3 linked regions of the Lepisosteus oculatus genome follow. The protein of the gene in region 3 interacts with the protein of the main gene of each other region in a pairwise test. Links are inferred from orthologs where the notes say so. Each region holds a gene or a part of one and is shown on either strand. Other genes may lie near its edges.

Evidence for each region.
Region 1: the proteins of bmal1b (region 3) and npas2 interact in binary tests that used the Homo sapiens proteins (3 or more experiments, as listed by UniProt). The link is inferred for Lepisosteus oculatus from reciprocal best matches to the Homo sapiens genes BMAL1 and NPAS2.
Region 2: the proteins of bmal1b (region 3) and epas1b interact in binary tests that used the Homo sapiens proteins (3 or more experiments, as listed by UniProt). The link is inferred for Lepisosteus oculatus from reciprocal best matches to the Homo sapiens genes BMAL1 and EPAS1.

The regions. Positions count from the first base shown.
Region 1 is NC_090703.1:45,028,629-45,036,257, reverse strand, and holds the start of npas2 (neuronal PAS domain-containing protein 2), read right to left. Parts: upstream 3,087-7,629; 5' UTR 2,553-3,086; exon of another isoform or gene 2,468-2,552; intron 1-2,467. UniProt on the Homo sapiens protein: Transcriptional activator which forms a core component of the circadian clock.
Region 2 is NC_090712.1:13,467,176-13,475,250, forward strand, and holds the start of epas1b (endothelial PAS domain-containing protein 1), read right to left. Parts: upstream 3,102-8,075; 5' UTR 2,644-3,101; coding exon 2,618-2,643; intron 1-2,617.
Region 3 is NC_090716.1:8,949,911-8,957,727, reverse strand, and holds the start of bmal1b (basic helix-loop-helix ARNT like 1b), read right to left. Parts: upstream 3,109-7,817; 5' UTR 2,920-3,108; intron 1-2,919. Other genes in the region: TBC1 domain family member 10A, read left to right, coding at 5,420-5,553, 6,200-6,287, 6,793-6,900, 7,729-7,817. UniProt on the Homo sapiens protein: Transcriptional activator which forms a core component of the circadian clock.

The sequences.
Region 1 (7,629 bases), on a different chromosome or scaffold from region 3:
TCCTTCATTATTTGTTGTCAAGGAAACAACAACTACAGAAACGTATTAGAAGAAAAAAACAGAAATACACATACTTTTATCTAAATCAACAGGTTTAAGATTTGACAACTAAATGGTTGACATCTGCAAAAAACTTCATATTTCTTTACATTTTAAAACTTTACATTTGTATATAATTAGAGGCATTAAAATGCAACAAAACCCATTGGCTCCAATATGCATTTACTGTGTTTAAAATGCCTATCAATATATTTATATTTCATATAAGAGGAATGCTATTAAGGTAACAGTTTTTTAGATATATGTATTACACATTTACCACAGATTTATAAAATAAAATAAAAAATCTCACCAGAGAACAATCTGCCACCTAGTGGAAAGGTTATTATTGTCTTTGAAAATCTGGGATAAGTTTGTTAGATAACAAAAACCTTTGGGGCAAGCAAGCACATGATTAAAGACAAACCAGAATACGTACAACTATTCTGCCAAGTTCCACTTACAATTAGCAATTAGCAATGTATTAGCAGCTGGACAGCAGATTGTGAATACAACCTCTAGTGTATTTACAAATTCTGGCTTAGGCTGTCCCAAAGCTCAAATAATGGTTATTCCTGCTCCTCTTTTTCAATATAATATTCTAATGGTTGGAAATAAGGCGATACATTCGCTGTTTTTGTGTTATGCTCCATTACTGGATGCACATGGTAAATGATTTGATTTGACCAGGTTTTAAATGGTCAGGGATACGGTATGTACATTTGAAGTTTATGTTCACCTTACTATATTCTCCATATTACACTTGCATTTTGGTACATGTTTTTAAATATACTTATCTAGCGGCTGAACATCAAATAATTAATGATTACTGTAGCTCCTTGTGGGACAACGAATAGGGCATCAGGACTGCATTAGCTGTTTGGATCAATTTTGAAAAGTTCCAGTTAGCAGTGCTTATTGGAAGACATGTCAAATGCCTCAACGAACACAAGACGCATAATGAAAGATGGAATCATAGTTGTTCTTGCAAAGAGAAGGAATGCAAAATCTGAGATATTAGCACACGCAACAAAGTAACATGCATTAGAAGAAAATAACTTAAAACAACACAGAAAAATTTAAATATTGTATTTTGCCACTGCATTTTGTTAAACAGCATGTTAAGGTACAGACTAGATTTTGCACAATCTTGTTCATCCCTTCCTGTAAGACAATTAGTATTTAAATGCAAAAATCTAAGCGTTATTTTGTAAAGCCTGGACTGCTAGAAGAATATGCATCTCTGCTGTGGAGTTCTCTGGAACCACACGAGCTTCAATTTAGTGTAGTTCTCATTCCTATTCAAAAACAAAATGTCAGCAGAAATATTAAAAGTAATTAAAGATATCCCTCCCTCTGTGCACTTCAATCGAAACACCACAACTGCAAAAAAATATTGCACTGCACAGTAATGACCTGGCAACCCTTACAGTTTAGATTTTGAGAACAGCTCCATAAAAATAAAAACTTTCAACCTACAGTACATGCCATTTTCTTCTCTTTAATACCTCCAAAGCAGGTTGCTGTTAAGACATGATAAACCTTTTACGAAAACGATGAAATTTCAAATATCACATACAGAGTAATTGTCTGTATGTATTTATTAGTATTAATATCTAGATTTGTCGCAAAAACACAGCAAAACTAATCTTAAAGTGTACTGTTACACCTTATCGCTTTAAATTATAACAAAGGATATGAAACTCTTTACTTATAAGCTTCATTAATCCACTAAATATAAGACAACACTTTGAAACATAGTGGCAACACAGAAGTAAAATATTGATAATAAAGATATACTGTGCAGTACAATATTATGTCTCTCCGTAGAAACCGCCTAAACGCACGTTTTTTTAATTTTCATTTGCGTGGAAAGCGATTCTGATTTGATCATGTAACACATTAGTAAATGCATTCAGCAGTTTAGTAAGTAAACGTTCGTTGTTAATGAAAATCTGTGCTGGTCTTGTGCAGGAAATCTGATGTAAATACACATTAAAAATCGGAAAGAAACTAAAAATCTAAACATTTAGAAGAAGATTAAGAAAATCTATATATTAGTAACAAATACAGACTTCCAACAAGGAATCGTCAAGTTTTACTATCAAAATACCAGAACAGAACAAAATTGACATTACATCCAGAATGCAAACCAATTATTAAACAGTTATTGGTCACAGAAAAGCTGACAACTCTGAGAATTTATAAAAATAACTGTACGTATAGAAATAATGTTAATGACTTACGCATCAATGGCACTTCGCGTGTTGTGTACATAATTCAGTTTTGAGTGCTTTCACCTATCCCACTACGCGATCCCACATTTAAATCCAAAGGAAAAAAAAGTTGCGCGACCCCGGACACGCAAATGATATGAGATGATTATCAAATTAAAACACAGCCACGCAGGAGGGAAATTTACACTTACCTCAACTGAAGCAGCAAGAACAGGATCCCAATTTAAAGCAACAATCTCACAGAAACGCGAAAGGTTTTACCCCCTTATTACTCACAGAAGATTGTTATATAACTGGCACCGTTTCTGTAGGCAATGATTGAGTTCCAAATGCGTTTTCATTCAGTGATGATGTTCATTTCCCAACCCACACACAGAACATTTTACATCAGCAGCAGCAGTCGTCCGGTCTGAGAGAGAGGAGGGTGTGAGCAGCCACGAAGCCTCCTAAGCGGTCCGCATAAGACAGACCTAGTTCAATGAACCAATTTGGAAGAGTCTGAGCAGTCCGTGCAGGTCTTTTCAGTGTCACTGAAGAATTCACACTACTTAAGCCGACACCGAGCTGGGGAGCTGGATTTGCCCAACTCCTGAGAGTGACCATCCGTGCGCATACAAGTAACAAAAAAAAAAACACCCCTTGGCCACCGTGATTAATACTTAGAAATGAAAATGAGACCACACAGTTAGTGTCCAAGTCATTAGACAATGAAAGCAGCTGTCAGCTCCACAGTGTGACCGGAACCGATAACGATAATGCGGACACTGACATGTAACTGGTAAAGGATTACAGTAGGTTACACAACGCCCACTGTTTTGTAAGTCTTCTATATTGTTGACTAATGTTACCATGCACTTATAAATCGTTCAGTGAACTGTCATTGCGTCACAGCTTACCGTTTTAGTCCGAGTGACGTCACATCTCAAAGCATGTACTGTTACATAAATCCGACCCTTTGTTCCAGACGTTCTTAAGTCTGCGAGATTTAAAGGAATTCTGCGTTTTAAAGGAAAAATTGTTACTTGGAATTCTATTTACTATGTAATGCGGCATTACATTTACATGGCAGTGTGTGATTCCATGGTCTTTTTTTCAGTAACCTCATAACTAAATAAGCAGTCAATAATTTGGGGGCTGCAGAAGAAGCTTTACTTTGACTGTGCACTTGTCTTTAATTTATTTCTGATGGCACCTCCAGTCGTCTGATTTCAAATAATGTAATTAACGATGTACCTGAAGTGGACATGGAAACATAAACGTAAAAACACAGAATTGGATGTTTGGTCACCAAATATGACTGGTACAGCCTTTACACTCCATGGCATAGAGTCTCCAGTGTCTGGAATTCTGCAAGAGGGATGCCACCCATTCGTTCACAAGAAAGGCAATCAACTCAAGCCTTGTTGATGGCTGTGGAAAACGTTGTCTCAGGCACTGTTCTAGAATATCCTGTGAAATAGAGTTCAGATCTGTTGATTGAGAAGGCGATGAGAATGCCACGAGATTGACATCAGGATTACGTCAGTGTCATGCTCCTTGAACCACCAAGTGACCAACCACATTTGCTCTATGGATGTGGACACTCATCCAGGAAAGCTGTAACATGGAGTTAAGATGATCACTCAGTACCATTAAGTAGCAATTAGCACTGACCAAGTCTTCCAATGGTATAAGTGCACCCCAGCTTTACCAAGAAAATGTTCCCTACAACATGATGGAAACATCAGAGCCCTTCACAGCTGGTACCGAACACTCAGGCCTGGTCTTTAGGTTGGCACCACACAGACATATTCATTTGCTAGGAACATGGTGGATAATTCATCTGACCATATTATATTTCTCCATGGCTTGGTAGTCCATTGCTTGAGCTCTTTATTCTACTGGAATAATGTCCATTGCCAGCTGTGAAGAGTGGTTTGTGCACAGTAACGTGACTATGGTATCCTGCTCTGTAGTGTTTTCAGAAGGCCATTCTTGATATCATGATCATGGTGTATACATTTCTACCCACTGTTGCTCTTTGCTGATGATGTCTGTCCCTCGGAGTTCCATACTGACGTCACCTGAGACATCATCGCTCATGAGACGTCATTAAGTCGGGACGTCCTGGTCACTGAAGGTCCTGCCAAATGCCCACCAACAATCACCCATCTTTAAAAGTCACTAAAGTGTTCTCTTGCAGCCATATTAGACACAATCAAAAGCAATCAGGCCTGTCCAGCATTTTTAAACATGATCCTAACACTCTGGGATGTTTTTTGCTTAACTTACACTAGCCACAACTGTGTGGAAGCCCTTGGTTTTAATATCTGGTGTCTCTTTTATCCCAGGTATTTCCATTTCTTGTCCACTACCTCTAATTTCAAATAGTTTTTATAAACAATTATAGGCATAATACGGATGTACAGTATGATTATAACAGCTTAAACATCAGTGAAAAACATTCATTCAGTCTAAAAGAGGGTATTGTGTAAAAAAAAAAATAACATCCCTCAAGCTAATATGCTGGATGTTCTTTTCGTAACATAATCCTAGGCTTACGCAGTACATGCTATTTCTGTAGCAAATACATGGGCCGATTCATTCACCATGAATTGTTCCAAGTTTACGTCTTCAATCAATATATGTAAGGGTTTCAGGAAAAAAATGCAATGTGTCCTATTATTGAACTGTGGCTTTTAAGGGCATATTGTAAATGCTACAAAGGAGTAAGAATCCCGGCTTCACCTGGTGATATATATGCTTTGTATAGAGATCAATTTTAAGAAGTCCAATTTTAATTAAAATATCAGAATTAATTGGTATTAAAACCAGGTCAAGGGCAGGAACTCCCATCTGGTATCATGCAGTTGACTTCTGTTTTAATTTGATGGTAATTTCATCATCCATTAGGTTCTGGTCAGCATTATACAAGACAGGACTACTAATGGGGTGTAAAACCTTTTCATATCAGTACATACTTAAGTCATTTGTCCACCAGGAAGTGTACAATCTGACCATGCCCTAAAAATAGTAAATTTGAACATTAAGACATGAATCACATTAGAGAAGATCAGAGGTATATAGTGCTCTATTATTTAAGAACTGGATTGTTCACTCTGTTACCCACCTCACAAATTAATGAGAACAATCTTACTTTGCTGTGGAACCTATTGTATTATGGTGACTTTTTCTTTGCTGACTTAAATATTCTAAAATCCTAGAAACGTACTCCAAGCAGTACAACAGAATCCCATTCTTTACTCTCACCCTTGCATCATACAGCACTAAAATACATGTTTCAAGATGGAATAACAAAAAGTTCAATGAGTAAGAGGCATTATGTATTAGGCACACTAATCTCTGTACACATAGTTAACCTGGGTGTATTTCTGAGCTACTGAACTCAGGAGGTGTTGCATTGTTACACAGGTCATACCAGGTGACGGCTCAGCAGCGTTTGCAGTGACTGGGTGAGCTGAACCCAGCCCCGAAAAGGAAATCCTCTTTGCTCCCTCTAGCAGGGGTGTTTGGATTACTCCCAGTGGAAATATAGCCAAGGGTGCTCACTCAGCACACCTGAAAGTATGGCTCGCTCAGTTTTGAAAATCCTACGAATCACCAAGTGCTGTACCTCATCAATCATTTCTGTTGAAAAGGGAAGGGTTAGAACAAATCATCTACAGTATGAGACAGATCAACACTGCTTTCTTCTCTTCCCTCCAGACATTATATTTATATGTTAACCAAGTATCTGGGGGCATTCTTGCATCATAATACAGTTCTTTAACTCATAAAATGAAATTAAGAACACTTTGTTTTTTTAATAATTTCCTAGAAGCACCTTTGTTAAAAGGATTATGGATCTCGGAGTAATTTGCATCACATAGCTTCTGATTCCTTTACCCTTAAGCTCCAGAGGAGATCCTCTTATGCAGACTGTTTGTCTCACTCCTCACTAGATTTACAGTATGCTCATTTGGCTGTAGCTCCACTTCAGCTCTGTTACCAAACAAATGCAGCCTTTGATATAAAAAAAGATATAGCAACCCCAATGCCAAACACAGAACTGGTACCATGGTTAGCTGAAATCTGTTAATGTACAGTACACCTAATGTAAAAAATAACCCCAAAGTGATCCAGAGAGAAAACCATTAATTTTTACAATTGTGCACCGAACCACCTTCCTGTGTATACCTGACCTTGTATACAAAGGTTCCATGGTTGAATAACCACTGTTGAACAAGAAACAGCATTGTAAGCCTTCAAGGTCATTGTTGATGTACTTCAATTAATGCCATGACCAGGCAGATTAGTAAAAGGTTTGTCTCTAGAGTACCTGCTCCTCCCCATTCAGCCTCTAACACTGTATGTACTGTATGAATTCAAGTAGAATCATGCATGGGCGTGGCGATCTTCAACAACTGACGCAGCACCACATCACCAAATGTGCTGTCAAAGCATGCTATATTATGGGAGAAAACATTCATGCAATTGTTATCTGTGTTTAAGTAAACGTGACATGAATCCCTCAACACACTTGAAAAATGAAGAAAAACTACAGGGATGACAGCAGTTCAATCAGCTTCATGCTTTAAATGACTAACCTGTTTTTGAGAGCGATCACACCGGTATACACAGTAATGGGATCCCTCTGGAATTCAATTTAAATCTATTCTTAAAAATTAAAAATAAACCAAATGCATGGAAATCTAATGCCAAAGAGAATGAAGAGGGCTATGTTAAAAATGCCTCCCCAACACCACTGCCATCTGGCCTCCAACCAACAAGCAGCAGTAATTGCTAATCCTGTGACAGCTTTCTATCTGGGAACACTGAGTGCTCTCTTGTGGAAGGTCATTAGATTTTGCCAGTGTGGTTTACATAATATAATCACTTTATAAACATTTCAATACCCCTCTCCAAAATGAAGTATCAACTTTTGACTGTATAAAGCAGCAGAGAGGAAGCTATCAATGAAAAATGTGTAATTTAATGACATACTGGTGCCAACAGAATGGGACTTATTCAGAAAAAAAATAAACTACCGAAAACTGTCACACCAAACTCCTGCAGTACTGTAATAAAATCTTGGCTTTTCTATAGAGAAAAATCAATGTCATAATTACATCCTGAAGGCATTATAAAAATAACAACAAAAAAGGAAAACAATTTCAAAGCAATACAGACCTTTCAGTTTTTTTTACAAAAGAAAAAACCCGCTGCCAATACATTTTTATTGCCTGTAGTTGACCTACTTCTGTTCTGCTGGAACTGAGGTGTTTTATATGGCTAGAGGGGTTTGATAAACAAGGTGTACCATGCCCTGTGATCTTTATCACTTTTAACTTGAAAGCACGTTTCATCCATAGAC
Region 2 (8,075 bases), on a different chromosome or scaffold from region 3:
TACATTACACAATACTTTCATGAACTCTTCAAGAAAAACAGGACATACATTATACATGCTAATAAGCCATTGCCAATCTGATTTTATTGCAAGGTACAAGTTTATAAAAACTGACCTGCTTGATGTACAGAACTATTACTGAATTGCTTATAAAATACATTTCTCATTTTGTTGAGCTGTGAAATAGTAGCTATTCAAAACTGCCCAGGCTTTTAAATATAGGTACTGGGTCTAACAATAACAACGAGAGCTAAATTGTTATTTTACTAATTATATTTGGAAACTGCAAAACATGAATATGTCATGTAATGAAAACTGAGGAAGAAATATAAACACAGCTGGATTGCAAGCTTTATAGAGGAACAACCAGGTTACCAGCGTACTTAAGAGCTCATGCCTAGGAAGAGAAACAGGAAATGAACTCTAGTATCCCCTAAGCAAATGATAGAAGATATTCTATTTTCATAATATGGTCTATACCCTGCAGATATTAGGATTCACAAATATGAAATAAAATGTCATTTCACCACAGAAAAACTGGATGATCTGCCAGCTATGATGAAATCTGAATCACAGTGCCTGTAACTATTCCTTACTATTGTCAAAATATAAGGATTACATAAACTTGCAGACTGTCTTTTGAGGATCCACAACGTATATTTGTTCACTTCTGAATAGCGATCACAGTGCTAGGCCTTAATTGTGCTTGAGAGATCAGAGCAATTACTAAATCTTCAAGATCTGGAAGATGCAAGTCCATTTCTCAAACAAAGGGTTTGAAGACCGAACCTAGTTTGATAAAAGAAACAAAACGTGTTAACATGGCGTATGGATAAACTCACACAGCCTTGGCCTGTGAGGGAGGAAAGGCTATAGTGAACGATCATTCCTCACACTCCACTTCCTGGGCCTGTTTCAGTTTGGTAACATGAAGCATTTCAAAACTGTATTTCAGACTGATGGAAACAAACGGAAAAAAAAACACAAAACATAAATCAAATGGATGACTCAATATGTTCCTGAGTGCAGTATAGATGCTGCCATCTTTTAGTATGGTATACAAACCGAAGTCATACTGCGAGCGAATTTATTGTGTTATTACTAGAGCCACTAAGTACACATTTTCCCCATCATACACATTGCAAAATCTTCACATACTTTTTAAATAGTTGTATTGTACAGTTTTGCTTGTAACAGCCTGACGTTGCAGGCTATATATCCAGTCCTAACAAGTTCTAATTAAAATGTATATAATTTTACTTACAGAAGAATTACAAACTGAAACAGAGGACATTTAATGTGTAAATGTTATGTACAACGATGGAAATTAACATTTTGTTCTAATAACCTGTCAAATGCAAAGTACAGAATTACACAGTATTGTGACTTTACAAATCAATTACACATACTGTAGTTTCCCAGTGTTACGGTCTCCCATACGGTATGCAACTAATGGGAAAGGTCATAAATTGCAAACCTGATAAATTCTTGAAATAAGAACAGCTAAAATACTTAATATTTTAAAAGATCCCTATCTTATTTATTACACTTATTATTGGATATTTATTTTATTCCACTGGGTATGAGGATGAATACAGTATAAAACGAAAAAGATTTTTCAGAATCACTTCACTTTTGCAGCCGAGACAATTAAATGAATAATACCATATTCTAAGGGTTAAAAACATGAAAAGGTAACCATGTGCGCAATGATTTATGTTGCTTTACCGCAGATTACAGTATATTAAAATGCTGAGACACACAAATAACTCTGCCATCACATTTTATGACAGAATTGGTCAATGCTTTGCAACTACTACAGCTCGAAAACAGTGTCCTAGTCACCTCACAATCGACCTGTCACTGTATTTTACCTCTACGCTTTGTTTCACCTGTTGTTAATTAACCTGCGTATTAACTAGGGCCACACAACAGCCGCACGATACCAGAGACTCGCACAGGTCGCCTCTGCTCACACTCCTCCGTGGTATACCAATCAAATCAGAGATCAAAGTTTAGATTTAAAAAAAGAATCCCGTAAACAGCAGCAGAGAAAAAAAAAACAAAAAAACAAGTTTAACCATTAAACTCTCAATCAATATTACAATATTTATTTTTGTAATGGTAGCATATATCTTCTGGAACTGGTACCGTATGTCGGACACATTTGGTGTTGGACAAGATCGCAGTATCTGTAACAGGCTGTACCGTGACAAAATGTACAGTATGTACATCATATAATAAATTAAGACGGCATATAAATACCGTGCAGATCGCAGCTGCACGCCACATACACACATTTGAAAGAAAAATATTCAGCGCAAATCCTTTCACTTTACATCGCATAAGAGGTCCGGATCATAAGGTATAAGCTCATATCATTACATTTGTGTTGCTGCCCTTGTCAGAAGGTTGACAGCAGTTTCTTAAACTTCACTACAGTATGTTCTCCCTGCAGCGCAACAAGTCCTATTAACAGCAGCGTCAGTGATCTTGGTTACATCGGTCCTCACGTTATGTTCATTGCAAAGACATTGTGCTTGCCAAGACAGTAACTCAATCGAAACATTAAACAAAAAAAAAACAGGTTAAATACTGTATGAAAAATGCACCCTACCTCTTTTTTTCTTTTTCAGCGGTCATGGTGGTCGAAATAGCACTGAACACGTCCTTTATCAAATCCCGTGTCCTCCAGAAATTCCAGCGGTGCTTTTGAAAAGTTTTCACAATAGAAAAAAAAATAATAATGGAAAAAAAAAACTACCGAAAAACAAATAGCTGCTAGCTAACGGTAATGATGAAAGGAGAACGTAACTAATAAACACTAGCAATATCCATTTATAATGAAGAGAGACCTTTTGTCATCGGGAGGGGGGCTATACAGTCTCAGAACACTGCCGAGGATTGTACAGCCTCTCTCTTACTAACAAGCAGAAATCTGGAAAGGCTGGTGCTGCGCTGTAAGGTTTCTGTTTTCAGCCCTCTGTCAAAGTTGTTTCGCTGAGTTTTCGCACTGGGAAAGTTCCAGCCCTTGTCCCCCGGCCACTGTTCCCTGCACTCAGCTGGACTGCTGACAGCAAGTTAATGTGCGCGCCGTGATTGGCGAGCACCCAGCCGAGACCCTCCCTCGGCAGACACACACACACCGCCTTTGCCCCCGTCTTCCCCGGGCCGTGGGGGCGGGACAGCGCTATAGGTGAGCTCATTTGCTGTCGGCTCTGTGAGGTACGGTACGCTTTTCACTTCAGCCTCGCCGCAGCGAAGAGTTGCGCCTCATCATTCAATTCGCCCGCCGGCCGGAGTTCGCAGGTGCACCAGGTCACTAATCTGGGTGCTCTGCTTTCCTCGCATGCGGGAGTTATCGCCTGCAACCTGGGTTATCTCCGTTTAGCCAAGAGGGGCTGTGTTATGGATGCCAGTTTCTTTTCACTTACTGTAAAACGAGTTTCACTTACTGTTAAACGCGTTGAACCAGATTCTAGAAATACGATTTAAAGAAGAATAGAATGATAGAAGAACTATAATTATTTGTAAAAATCGCCTTATTGAATCAGAGGGCAATAAAAGCATTTGACTAAATTGTGATTAAGCGAAGAAGTAGCAAGGACCAATTCATATCTGGATGGCAGAACGAAATGGAAAATAAAAAAAAAACACTGAAAAACCCACATCGTAGTGTGACATCCACTGTAGTGTCAGAATGCTACATGCAGATCTTGAAAGGTGCAGGGATCCGATAGTTTCATAGCAAAACGGTCTCTGATATTTTATTTGTAAATACTCTTCAAAATAGTTTAAGTAATTTAAATGCTTAACTAGAGCAATTGTTTTATTATTCACATTGTTTTCACAAAATGTTATTTGAAAGTATTTAAACTATACAGTTATACCCAAATACATTAGGAATAGTCCAAAAAAATTCTAAATGATGTTCAGTACTACATTTTCAAATGATCACTTGATGGTTTAGAAATATAACAAAGGAGTAGCATGTTAATACATGTTTATTTAAACTTCATAACTCAGATACAGGAATAAATAAGACTTGAGTCCTATACTGTATTGAAATGAGTCCTATACTGTATAATATAAATTGTAAGCGTCATACTGTATATAAGATTGTATTTCAATTCCAAAATAAAATATCTGGTTGGATGGTAAATATTTTGACTATTGTTCCTAAAACAGTTACATTGATTAAAATTATAAGAATCACAAAAGTCAACCAACTGTTGTTCCATAGCATTGATGACTTTCGTGAAGGTTTTGAATCACTAGTAATTAGGTCTAACAGGGCAGCAGTGAAGGGTGTCTGAGTTTCTGGGATCCAACAGAGAAGGATCTCACTGTCCTGGCAGACATGGAGAAGACTGTTAGCTGCACTCTTCACTGCAACTACAGTACAAACAGGTGGGCTGACAAGAAGGCAGAGAGCTTGTTTTTCTTAGCAGTGGCAGGCTGGGGAGGTTGTGGCGCTAACTCCTGCTGAAGAAAGGGCAATGACTGTCACTAGCTGCTTTGTGTAGCCTTAAAGCAAAGATCTAGAAGAGCTGCAGGCTTGTAGACTGCTTTAAGACAGGCAATGTACCGTGCAATGAACCTGCTCAGGAAGGTTCTGCATCTGATGTTAAGAATGACATACTGTACTGTAGCTATCAATAACATTGAAAGAACCATAGACGAGGAGAATAGTGGTTTTGGAATGGTCACAGGTTCATAAAGGCATTGGACATCCGTTTTAGTGAGTTTAGAGTCATTGGATCTCTCTTTTATTGAGTTTCGTGAATACACTGATCTGTGCTAGTTTCTTTTGTTCAGCTCTTAAGATGTAGCGTGTCATTTTGAGATGTGAGTGTCAGAGTACAGTAGTACCTCATCCAGAATGTGAGCCGCAGTGGTCGACTTGTGGGTTTAGGACACCAGGCACCACGCTTGCGCAAGGTGGGAGAGATTTCTGGGATATTGAGCACAGGATTCACGATGGTGGAGGAAATCAAGCGATTTCCCCACGTCAAAATATTTGTGTTTTCTGGAATATAATTAATTAAGGACTTTGCTGTGTGCAATGCTATTAGGATTAAATATTTTATTTTAAATGTTTTAAAATGTTAAAAAAAATAAAACAGAAAAATCCAATTTGCAGTTGCTTTCTTATGCAATGGTTTTAATCTTTCCTAACTAGGGCTGTTTATACATATGCAAGTCACTGTATTAATACAAATGCTTACATAAGAAATCTTCTAAAATAGATTTTCCTTATTCCTTCATTAACAATGGTTAATTGATAAGTATATCGTCTGCAAAGACAGTATTTTTCATTGGTAGTATTAAAGGCAATACTACCACTTTGTACAGTATATTCGTGACACACCCTTATAATTTGTATTGCAACAGTACCAGAGCAGTATAGAACAATATCTTCAGTTATTTAGAGACATATGAAAAGCAAATATTTTATTAAATACTTACCCTCAGATACACTTGAAGAGCTGAAAGTTTTTTTTTTTAACCAAGTTGCCAACAAGATGTTTGCAGTGCTTCCTTTGAATTTGTCAGCAGTATTTTCTGGAATAAGGAAAAGTACTGTATTGCAGCTTTAGAGCTTTACTCCTTTATGGAAGAGTAGTAGAGCACCCAACATTATTGGAAGGTATATACAGTATACATTATATACAGATTTTTTTTTTTATTGTGGTTGAGAGCATTTTTTACCCCCAAAAAATAAAAACATGATTATTTCAATACAGGTACAGTATATAAATCATTGTACAGTGTGAAACAATGAAGGCTCCTAACAATACTATTTTGAGAATTTGTCATACATCTGCAATCATAATGTTTATCTATTTTTCATAGATTTAAATTATTTACCTACTGAACAAAAACATGCAAACATTTCAAATAATTGCTCAAATTAAATCAAATTTAAAAAGAGCAGTTTCCAGGCGGAAAGTGAGTGGTAAAGGTTTGAATCTTAACATCTTGGGACATATCATTTAGCTTTCATCATCATTCATTATCATTATCGCATATTTATCAACTATCCACAGATTTGTCCTAGGTCTTCTGAGAATTAACTTTGACTGCTCATAAACTCTTTAAAAACAACACCAAGCTAGTTATTGCTTTAATGGCAAAGTTTAGATTCTAATAAATTCAGTGTAATAATTAAGATACTTTATGCTAAAATTCAATGTTTAGTATTCTAATGTATTTCAACTATTTTACAAACATTAAGATATTTTTAACCATAGTTTTGCTTTTGGATCTGAGTTCACCTAATTACGAACAACATTTACCTTCTGGGATTTTGTATTAAACTACATTCAATTACTATTTCATTATTCTAAAAATAATTTCTGCTTAATGTATATAATTTGTTCAAACACTAGTTACTTTTCACTACTTACAGTATATTTGAAATTATATTTACCCCAGTAAGATAATACTATATTTAATGTCATTAAATAACAACAATAAAATAATTTCAGCATTGGCCATTTTAGTTTAAAACCCACTATTAACAAAAACATTATGTGTTACACTCAATATGCCTATGTTTAGAAAAATGTTGATTATTGTACAGTAAAATAAGGGTAAAGGTTTTCACAATCATTTTTGACAACAGCAGATGTTAGATGTAATGATTCACTTAAGCACATTGCGTATTTTAACATTTTTTAAACTACGAATGATTTGGTTTCCAGGAATACGGTATACTGTACAAAACAGGGAAACAATATGTCTACTTCTGTCTGAAGGTTTGCAATGTTTTACTTATGCAGGCTTTAAAAACTTAAATCACATATGGAAAATACTGTTACAATTCCTCAGGAAGAACGCGTAAAATAAAACTCCCTTGTATTTTAGGAAATGAGCTGTAGCCAAACATTTTACAATACAGTAAGTTTACAAGCTTTTCATATAATACTGTATCATTATCATTGAAGATCAAATCAGCGTTAGGTCACTGAATTTAATTGCATTTATTGACTAGTGAAGGCATTACAGTTATACAAACTCAATTACGATTTCTATCCACAGACTTGGGAGTTTTATTTAAACCATCAGTTATGTTATTTCTGATCAACTGATTAACAACATCATTTTGAAAGACGTCAACATTACATACACATTACTGTATGTACTGTACATTGCAGCTAACACAAATGGGTACGATATTTGGAATATGTTTATGTCACTGCCAGGGAGTTGCAAAACTGTTCATGACTAATGTAGGAACATCCATAGAAGATTCATTTTTTATATAAATGTGTGGGGAGTTCTTAGCTGATAAAAAGGGCGAGAGGAGCTGTACCCTTCTATTCATACGATTAAATGATTCGCAGTAAAAGCCAAAAAAACGGTAATAAGGCTGAATGAAAGTTGAAAACGTGCACATGAACAACACAGATTGCCTTGACATATAGTAAAAACAGGGGTTTGAAAAATAAACTGTAAAAGTACATCATGGCAAAGGTGACAATTTTATAATCCAGTATTGAGGACATTTTTAATAGAAGAAATATTCATAGAATCCTGCCCATAGACGATGGTCAATCTTTAACGCATAACCTCTGTTATTTTATAAGTAAAGGAATAGGAGGCCGTGGTCACAGTATAGCCATCACATACTGTATGCTAGTTAAGCAAACTTTGCACAGGCCAGTCTGTTGCGCTTTCATTTTATCTGCAACAGTAGCTGTAGCTTGTAGTGCTCAGCTAATTGACAACAGTGCTGCTCTTTGGCTGCTTACTGCTTTTATCTAAAGCAGATTAAACAATTAATGTATGCCAAATAGATTTTCCTGGAAGCCTTGAATTTTATGCTCTCTGCGTGACGCCAAGTAAGTTGCGAATCTGGATGACACTCGTTAAATGTGCAACGTTACAGTAAATAGCCAATTTTGGCATTTGTTTTCACTCTGAAAGCACCGAGCTGTTAAGAAACCCGTCAGTCAACAGACCGAATGACTGAACTGGAATGCAACGTTAAAAAAACTTAATATGAGTTTCACAAAATGGGAATCATCGTAAAATAAAAACCTTTTACAGGAAACATTAGACAACAGTTG
Region 3 (7,817 bases):
TCAGTGACAGTAAACATCCAACTACAGTAGGTCATGTTTTCCATGACATTCATTCTACAGAAAAGAATAAAAAATGCTATTGGATTGTTATTGACTCAACCAATGCTCATCACAATGTTTTGTTTTAAATAGCCCCTATCCTACCTTGGACATGTGAACATCTATGTTGTCTTTTCAGATTAGCTTAATTGACATTTCAGCACAGTCGAATATTTGACACTCACCTAGCATTTTAAGCAATGACAAGGATGGAAAGCATTTCCTATAAAACATTAGACGTTTCATAGGGCTAAATATCATCTGAACATTACAGGGTGCCCCAATCCTAGTGATGGTAACCTGCGTGTCTGCTTGTTTACCATTTATATTGGAATTTCAGTTACTTTAACTGAACAAATGGAGCGCTTTAATGGTGACTTTCCAGTATGTGTCAAGTAATTGAATGTTGAATGAGTGTAGATGTGCAAAGAGAAATTCGATTAATTCCAGGAATTACTATGTTTCCAAAAAGAGGTGCAAGAGAAGAACTGCCAGTGTGCGCTAACTGCAGGGAAGCCAGTAAAGTCGAGTTCGGCACCAAGAATTAAACAATAAAGCGATCTGCTGGAAAAACAAACCAGTATACAATGGGGTCAAAAGGACCCAGACTGTGAACTCAGGTCCAGCGGGAGTGTGTGTTGGTGCTGATATAGTTGAATGGACTTTGTTTAGAAAATATTTTTATCATCCTTATCATTTTAAAGTCATTTCCTTCTTTCTCTTTCCCCCAAGAGAGGCACTGCAGCGTATAACTACTGAGCCTGCTATTTTGGTGTCTTCTTATTAAATGTCCAACTACCACACTTGGAAGTGCCCTGCAAAAGATAATTCCGGGTGATACTGTACAAATGGAAACCAGCCGAGGTCTGCTTCGTGTCCGAAAAATTTATGAAATACAGCATCGAGCCAATTCACCTGGAGTGAGAGAAATTAATTTCAGTTGAAAGGTGGCTACAACTGTGCGTGTATCACTCAAACTTTTCATAATCAAAACTGACTGACTGATTTGTGATCCATCTTTAATTGAAGAAAGTACTGCATAAAGTAACTTAAATCCTTAACAGACCAAAGGTATCTGGAATGCACAGTAATACAGTTCAGACCTATATAATCACACTGGTTATGTAAACAGGTTTCATACAAGAACAGGCTCTACAATAGTTGTGTTGTTGTAAGAGCAATCACTTTGAATGGAACTGTATGTTCTTTAGTTCTTTCTGACTTGGGAACACCGGCACTGACTGAATAGCTGTGTTATTATTTACCTTATGAGGGGTGTACGTCAATAAATATTATTTTTTCTTCCCTGAAACACAGGTAACGGTCTCTGAGCTTGCTCTCTACAAATCCACAGAAATATATTTCCTATCTCTTCGTAATACGATGTTTTGCTATAAATTCTTCCCGTGAAATTTCACGCAGATTTCTATTGTCATATGCGATTGAAATAAAATAGCAATTTTAAAATTGATTAAAATGGTTTCCATGTACAGTGCAAGCACTTTTATAACAACAGTGGTGCTTCAAACAGTACAGTACTTTCCATATGGATAAGGACTCCACTGGAACTTTGCAACGACTATTAAAGGTAGTATTATTATACTTACAGTAGTATTATTATATATAAACAGCCAAACTGCGATACATAAGTATACTATTACATGGCACTACAGAAGAAAGAAGCTCCCAAACATCAGAAGCTGAACAGTTAAATATTCTCATGCGTAATACTAGCCAGACACGGAGAAGAAATAAATGAGCAGAAATTAGACACGACAATAATGAGCAGGCTATCTGTACAATCCCGGTCAGTAAATTCCTGACTCTGGTGGCCAAAGATCAGCTTAATTGTGCATAAGTTCAACAAATATAGGCAATTATAAAAACGTAACGCAGGAGGAATCACAAACTGTTTCCTTGGAATTAATTTCTTAGGAGTCCCAAGCTAGCTGACTAAAAGAGCCCTTTAACTCCTTATCTTCCGGAATCGCCGGAATATTAAATACAAGGACACCTACAACGAGGGTGAAACGATTCCATTTTTTTTCTCATCTACAAGCACAAAACAGGCAGCCAGACCCAAACTAACAATAACCAACAATCTGATATTGTTTTAAATTGCAGAAATCAGCTGACGGTTTCTTGCTGGAAATGCAACCTCTCGTTAATTATTTCCGTGTAAGGCAATAAGAGTGTTGGTAGGCCTAAAAGAGCTAGTGAACAGAACAATCCTACCTCGCAACAATGTAACAGGTAGTTAGAAGATGAAAGGAGGCCAATGTCCTGGGGGAAATGACAAATTCCCAAGTACGGTAATAGCCCCTACAGAATCGCCTCCGTGAACACTGACAGCTGTCAGTTTGCCTGTTGACAGCTACGAAACCAACTAGCTACACATTACATGCTTAGATGTGAAATAAGGCATTTTTTCACACCACCTCCGAGTATCTGAATGTGTGCAACATTTGACCCCAATAAAAACCCTATCAACGCGCCCGTGCGATGTACCGTATTTAAAGGAAACGCACGCGTTTTCTGAAGAAAATCTTAAATAACAAGCAGTCGTATAGATGTATACACGTTATTTTTTTTTTTACAAAACACTATCCATATTCAGTTTGGCACATGAGAAATGTGAAGCAAAACCCCGATTTCTTGAGGCCACTGTAAACGAAAACAGACTTTATCCTTCGCGATATGAAAGCACATCCTACGCCTTTAAAGTTATATATACATAAGGATTGCCCCTCCTCCCGAAATCGGCAATATATCCTGATTCGGAACAACACGTTACATTACAGTGTTACCTGCTTTTATGTCTGCGATCTCTCCTTATCAATATAGAGAACCAAGCCGTAAAATACTGTGCATTGTACTTACGTGATGAAAGTTAAATAAGCACATTTAAATACAGGGTAACATGGACGGTGATAAACAGCAGCAGTCTGTGACCTACTTTCTCCCTTCTGTAACTGTCGTCGCACCACTAACCTACTTTTCAACCAATTATGTCTTTGGAGCGGCCTGCATAGTCCTCGCAGCCAATCGCGCCGGGCTGGGGCAGCGCCTGGCCAATCTCGCAGGGCCGGATAAAACAAAGGAGCATTTCGCGTTGCGCTCCACGCCACGGGCGCGCAATCTCGGAGAGACACGGCCAATAGGAGGAGGCTTAGGAAAGCGAAGGAGGAAGGAAGCCTGCCGCCGACTTGGAAAAATGGTGAATCACCGAGCGCTGAAGGAGGAAATGTATCCACGACTTCGGAGCCGTGCGCGACCGTGGCACCCGATTACTCAGGCGCCCTGTGCGGCCATAAAGTTGCACGGCTTGAGTCGGATGGTTGCCTTGGCTGTAGTCACAGCTTCACACCGTTGGAGCCAAGAAGTAGACTTTGATCTTTAAACCCACCCATTTCACTGACCCGTGTGAATTTCAAGAAGAGAGAGTCTGAGCAGCGTAGTTGACAGCTCGGTGTGGCGCATCGTGCCTTACAAATTACGCGCAGTGTTCGCAAAATACAGCACCCAAGGCATCTGTCTTCAAAGAAGGCTTTTTTTTTTATATGCGTTGATGTCTTCTGCATCAAGACATTGTATATTGATGTCTTTTACAATATAGTTTCTTACATTATAGTTGCCAAGCACACACACCAGGTTAAAGGATACCCAGCACAAGATATGATTGTAACAGGAAATGGACATCGTAAACTAAAGAATGGGATTCAGATCATGGACGGCGCTGAAACCAAAAGCAAAATGCGCCACCTGTTGGAGTTTTTTTATATACATGGTCACTCTGACTCAAGAGTAGTGTTGCCACGATTAAGTAAAATATAATAATATCCATTACAAAAAAATTACATCAAAACTATGCCTCTTTTGAATTTTACTCATATTTTACCTCCAATATAAATGCATTTTAGAAGGCATAACTACACATACGCACTCTCTCCCGAATTACAGCCTTAATTTGTCAGTTCAGTCTGAAATCATCTTCCGAAATAATTGTATACCAATTGTGGAAAAATCAATTTTATTTAGTGAAGACTGAACCACCACACCTATTTCAAATCCGTTGATGTTCTTTTTAATACACATATTGAAAAAAAAAACCTTATCTGTTTTGTGTTTAGAGTCAGAATTACGGTGATGTAGAGCACACCTTTTAAACGACTATGATAAACGTCTGTGACGCTGAAGATGGATGATATCGTTACTTCAACGACATGTCATCTGTCTTTACTATATAACTATTTTCTTACACTGGTAAACTAGCCCAAAGCTGCGCCCTGTGACCTCATGCTTTATTATAGTAATAAAATGAAAACCCCTCGTCTTATGTGCGTCTCCTACACAGTATACTGCCATTTCCTTTGGGAGCTGTAAGAGAGATCTTCTTAATCAGTCTTCACACCAGAGGTGTCCATCTGCGGTCCTCAAAGGCAGCTGGCCAACAAGGTTTATAGGTACTTTACATCTCCAGCTTCTGAACAACAAGGGAAGTCTTCAACGTGTCCAATTAAATCAATAAAGAGTTGAATTAGGCAGTTAATGACTCGGGTGGAAAGAACAGCAGAAATCGTCCGTGTCTTTATCCACTGCAGTTTCCTGTATGGTGGGTTTGCCTCTTTCAAGCAGATTTCCACAGAAGCCCGCGCCATTCTCTCAGAAGCGTGTCCTTGTGCCACTCAGCCTGGCCACCGCTGATGAGAAACTGATATGGGCTGCAAGCGGAGATCTGATTAGGAATGTATTGGCCCTGGTCTTCGATCATAGTTTTGTTGGTCCATCGGTTTTTATAGCTGGGCTCCTTGATGTGAGCCATTGATTCTTCTTCATTTCTCATCCCAGGATCCCCTTATGGAAAAGTAATTGTTCTGGGCTGGGGGAGGGGTCCTATTGCTGCTGGCTTTGGTTTCATGCTGTCAATTATATAATCGAACCGCTAACTGAACCTAATAATAGGATTATTTGGACTCCTACAATTGCTCGTAAACACGTTTGAGGTTGCCTTTTAGCTATAACATTTCATCGGTAATTTAAGACCTCCAACTTTCTTAGAAAGAAACTTGCAAAGGTCAAGCAAGGTCTCAGTTTCCACTCAAAGTAGATTTAAAGTAGATTAAATGCTTGCACCTGCTGCGCATTATGGTTTAAATAGAAATCAAACTCATTAGCGAAGCAACGCTTTTAGTTGTAGTTGATTGGTTTCAGAGTTTCAGCTCTGACTTCCCATTGGTCTACGTGTTTGTCAGTTAAGGGGCGGATCGGAAACTGGGAAGCGGCGTCTGATTTGAAACAGAGTTACAGTTTACAGTTGTTACTTGTTGTTTTGTTACTGCCTTCTTTGATTTTGAGAAACCACTTTTTTTTTTTTGCTATCATGTCGCGGAGAAAGAGCAGTCACGGAAAGTCGCCACGAAGGCGTAATGTGGTTTTGGGGTTTGACGAATTTGGTTTCGCTGTGTTAGGTAGAAAAGATGTGAAAATATCGCCAGGCAGATGTCACGAATACAGGTAATGCTCAGACTACTTTATCTTGCTAGTGCAACTGCACAAGTCTAGTTTAAGGGTGGTGATTTTTATACCACACACAGTGTATCCATTATCTTCAAAATATTTATGGGAAACGTGTCGCTAAAGTAAAACAATTTGCCATTGCTAAAAGAGAAACGAGAGACATCACGGGGACATTTTTTACAGCAAACTGCTATAGTTATAATGCGTCATTTTGAATGTTTTAATGACAGCATGCCCTTACTATTTATAATAGCCCCACGTGTTTCTTAATCTTCTGTTAATGGCTTGGTATAAAAAATTATAAATACTAAGTCAGCCCCCCCTTAATAATACGAAATATTTTGAATTACCTTCTTGGAAGAGAGACGCCGCAGTTCATGTTAAAAGTAATATTCCCGAGAGTTTGACTGGGTTGAGAATAGGTAAATGTGTATATATATATGTAAAATTGCATTCTTTTGAGTGGAGTATTAAAATACTGTTAGGTAATACATAGAAATCACCACAAGGTCAATAGTTTCCTGGTCGGTTTAACATATATAATGTTTTTGCCTCCTTACAAATTCCTCATTTTACATTTTCATTGCTTATGCATTGCTTTTTCATCGCTTGGTGTTTAACTTTGTTCATTCCATTTTAATAGCTACCCCAGACCAAATGCTGTGAAGGTGAAGGAATTGTGTCATTTGCTCAGCTACTGGAATGGTTCGAGTTTCATCTGCAAGAACCAGGTAGCTTGGTGCTGTAAAGTTAAACTCTATGATCACAGAGAAGGATCTGGTCTTGACTGACAGCACATAGAGCTGTTGAAAGTACAGACCTACTGTAAGTCAGATGTGCAGTGAGGCTCGCAGGTGCTTGCTCATCCCGTATTCTGAGATGTCTTCTGGGACCACTGCCTTTATTTAATATTTCTCCAGAATTCCCATCTCTTTTGCCATGTACAGAAATGTATGTTAACCAGGATAATTCCGTTTTTACTGAAACATGTTGTAAGTTAAATGGAAGGCTGCAATGTGAAATTAAAATTCCATTTTTAATTATCCCCAGTGGCATACTCAAAGTTGTAATGTGTTTTTTTTGGTAAATAGCAGAATAGTTTAAAAATATTATTATTATTATTATTATTATTATTATTATTATTATTATTAAAGCTCTTTTATTGAGTTTTTATTTTTGTATTTTTTGCATATATGTACATAAAATCTGATATTGTGCTTTGGGTGTTTATTTCAGATTGAGCAATTTATTAAAATAGGGCTTCCACCTGAGTTACGCGGGCGTGCATGGAAGTCTCTTCTGGATGTTGAGTCAGTGAAAGGTGGCAGTCCTTTCAATTATCAGGTACTGTGCCTTTTGCAGTTTTCACATTTTCCTGGGATTTTTTTTATTACACTTTTTTTATTATTTGGCCTATTTCTTTAGTTCAGTGAACATGCAGAATTTGTTAACAAAGGTACTCCACAGTTTGCTTGATTACCAGTGCTGAGGGGCAATTGGAATCTTGTTTAGCAAGAGTGGATGACATTCTCTCTCTCTTTTTAATTTTTCTGAATTGTAGTAGAGATTGAGATTAATTTTTCTTTACAAGTTTTTTTGCCTGCCTGCCTCTCCAGGTAATATGATGACACATTAGCTACAACTATAAATTACTCTGCTTAGCTTCCCAGTAATCCCTGCCTACTTCCTTGAGGTGATCTATCCAAACAATTACTAGGTCAAACCATAGTTGAAGTCTGAGATCTGAAGGCATTAGGTTTAAAGATACCCATTGCATTTTCACATAAGTGTGCACTTGAAACTAGGATAATCCAATTCAGTATTCTTTCAGATCATAAATTATTTTTATGCATTGAGTTTGAGTAAAAGGTTTTTTTTTTTGCACTGATTCATATTAACTGGCACCAAAAAGTGGTGTCTGTAACACCTGGAACCATATCTTTGACATTTTAACAACCTATCATTCTTTCAATGCTAAAACATGATGAGTGAACTTCATTATCAGGTAACTTAAACTCATAATGAACTGTACACCACTATAATGCCAAATTGTCAGAGGTAACAAAGGGGTTTCTGTTTGTCAGTTTTTATAATCAGTTGCATAGAATCCAGAGAATTCATGAAAGACATCTGCTACACAATTTTAACAATAATTTCTGCATTTTTCTTTAGAACTGTCTCAAAGAAATTCGAAGGCCTCTCGTTGACCTTGGTGTGACGGAGTATAGTATCCGTTCTGCAATCACCATTTTGAGTGAAAC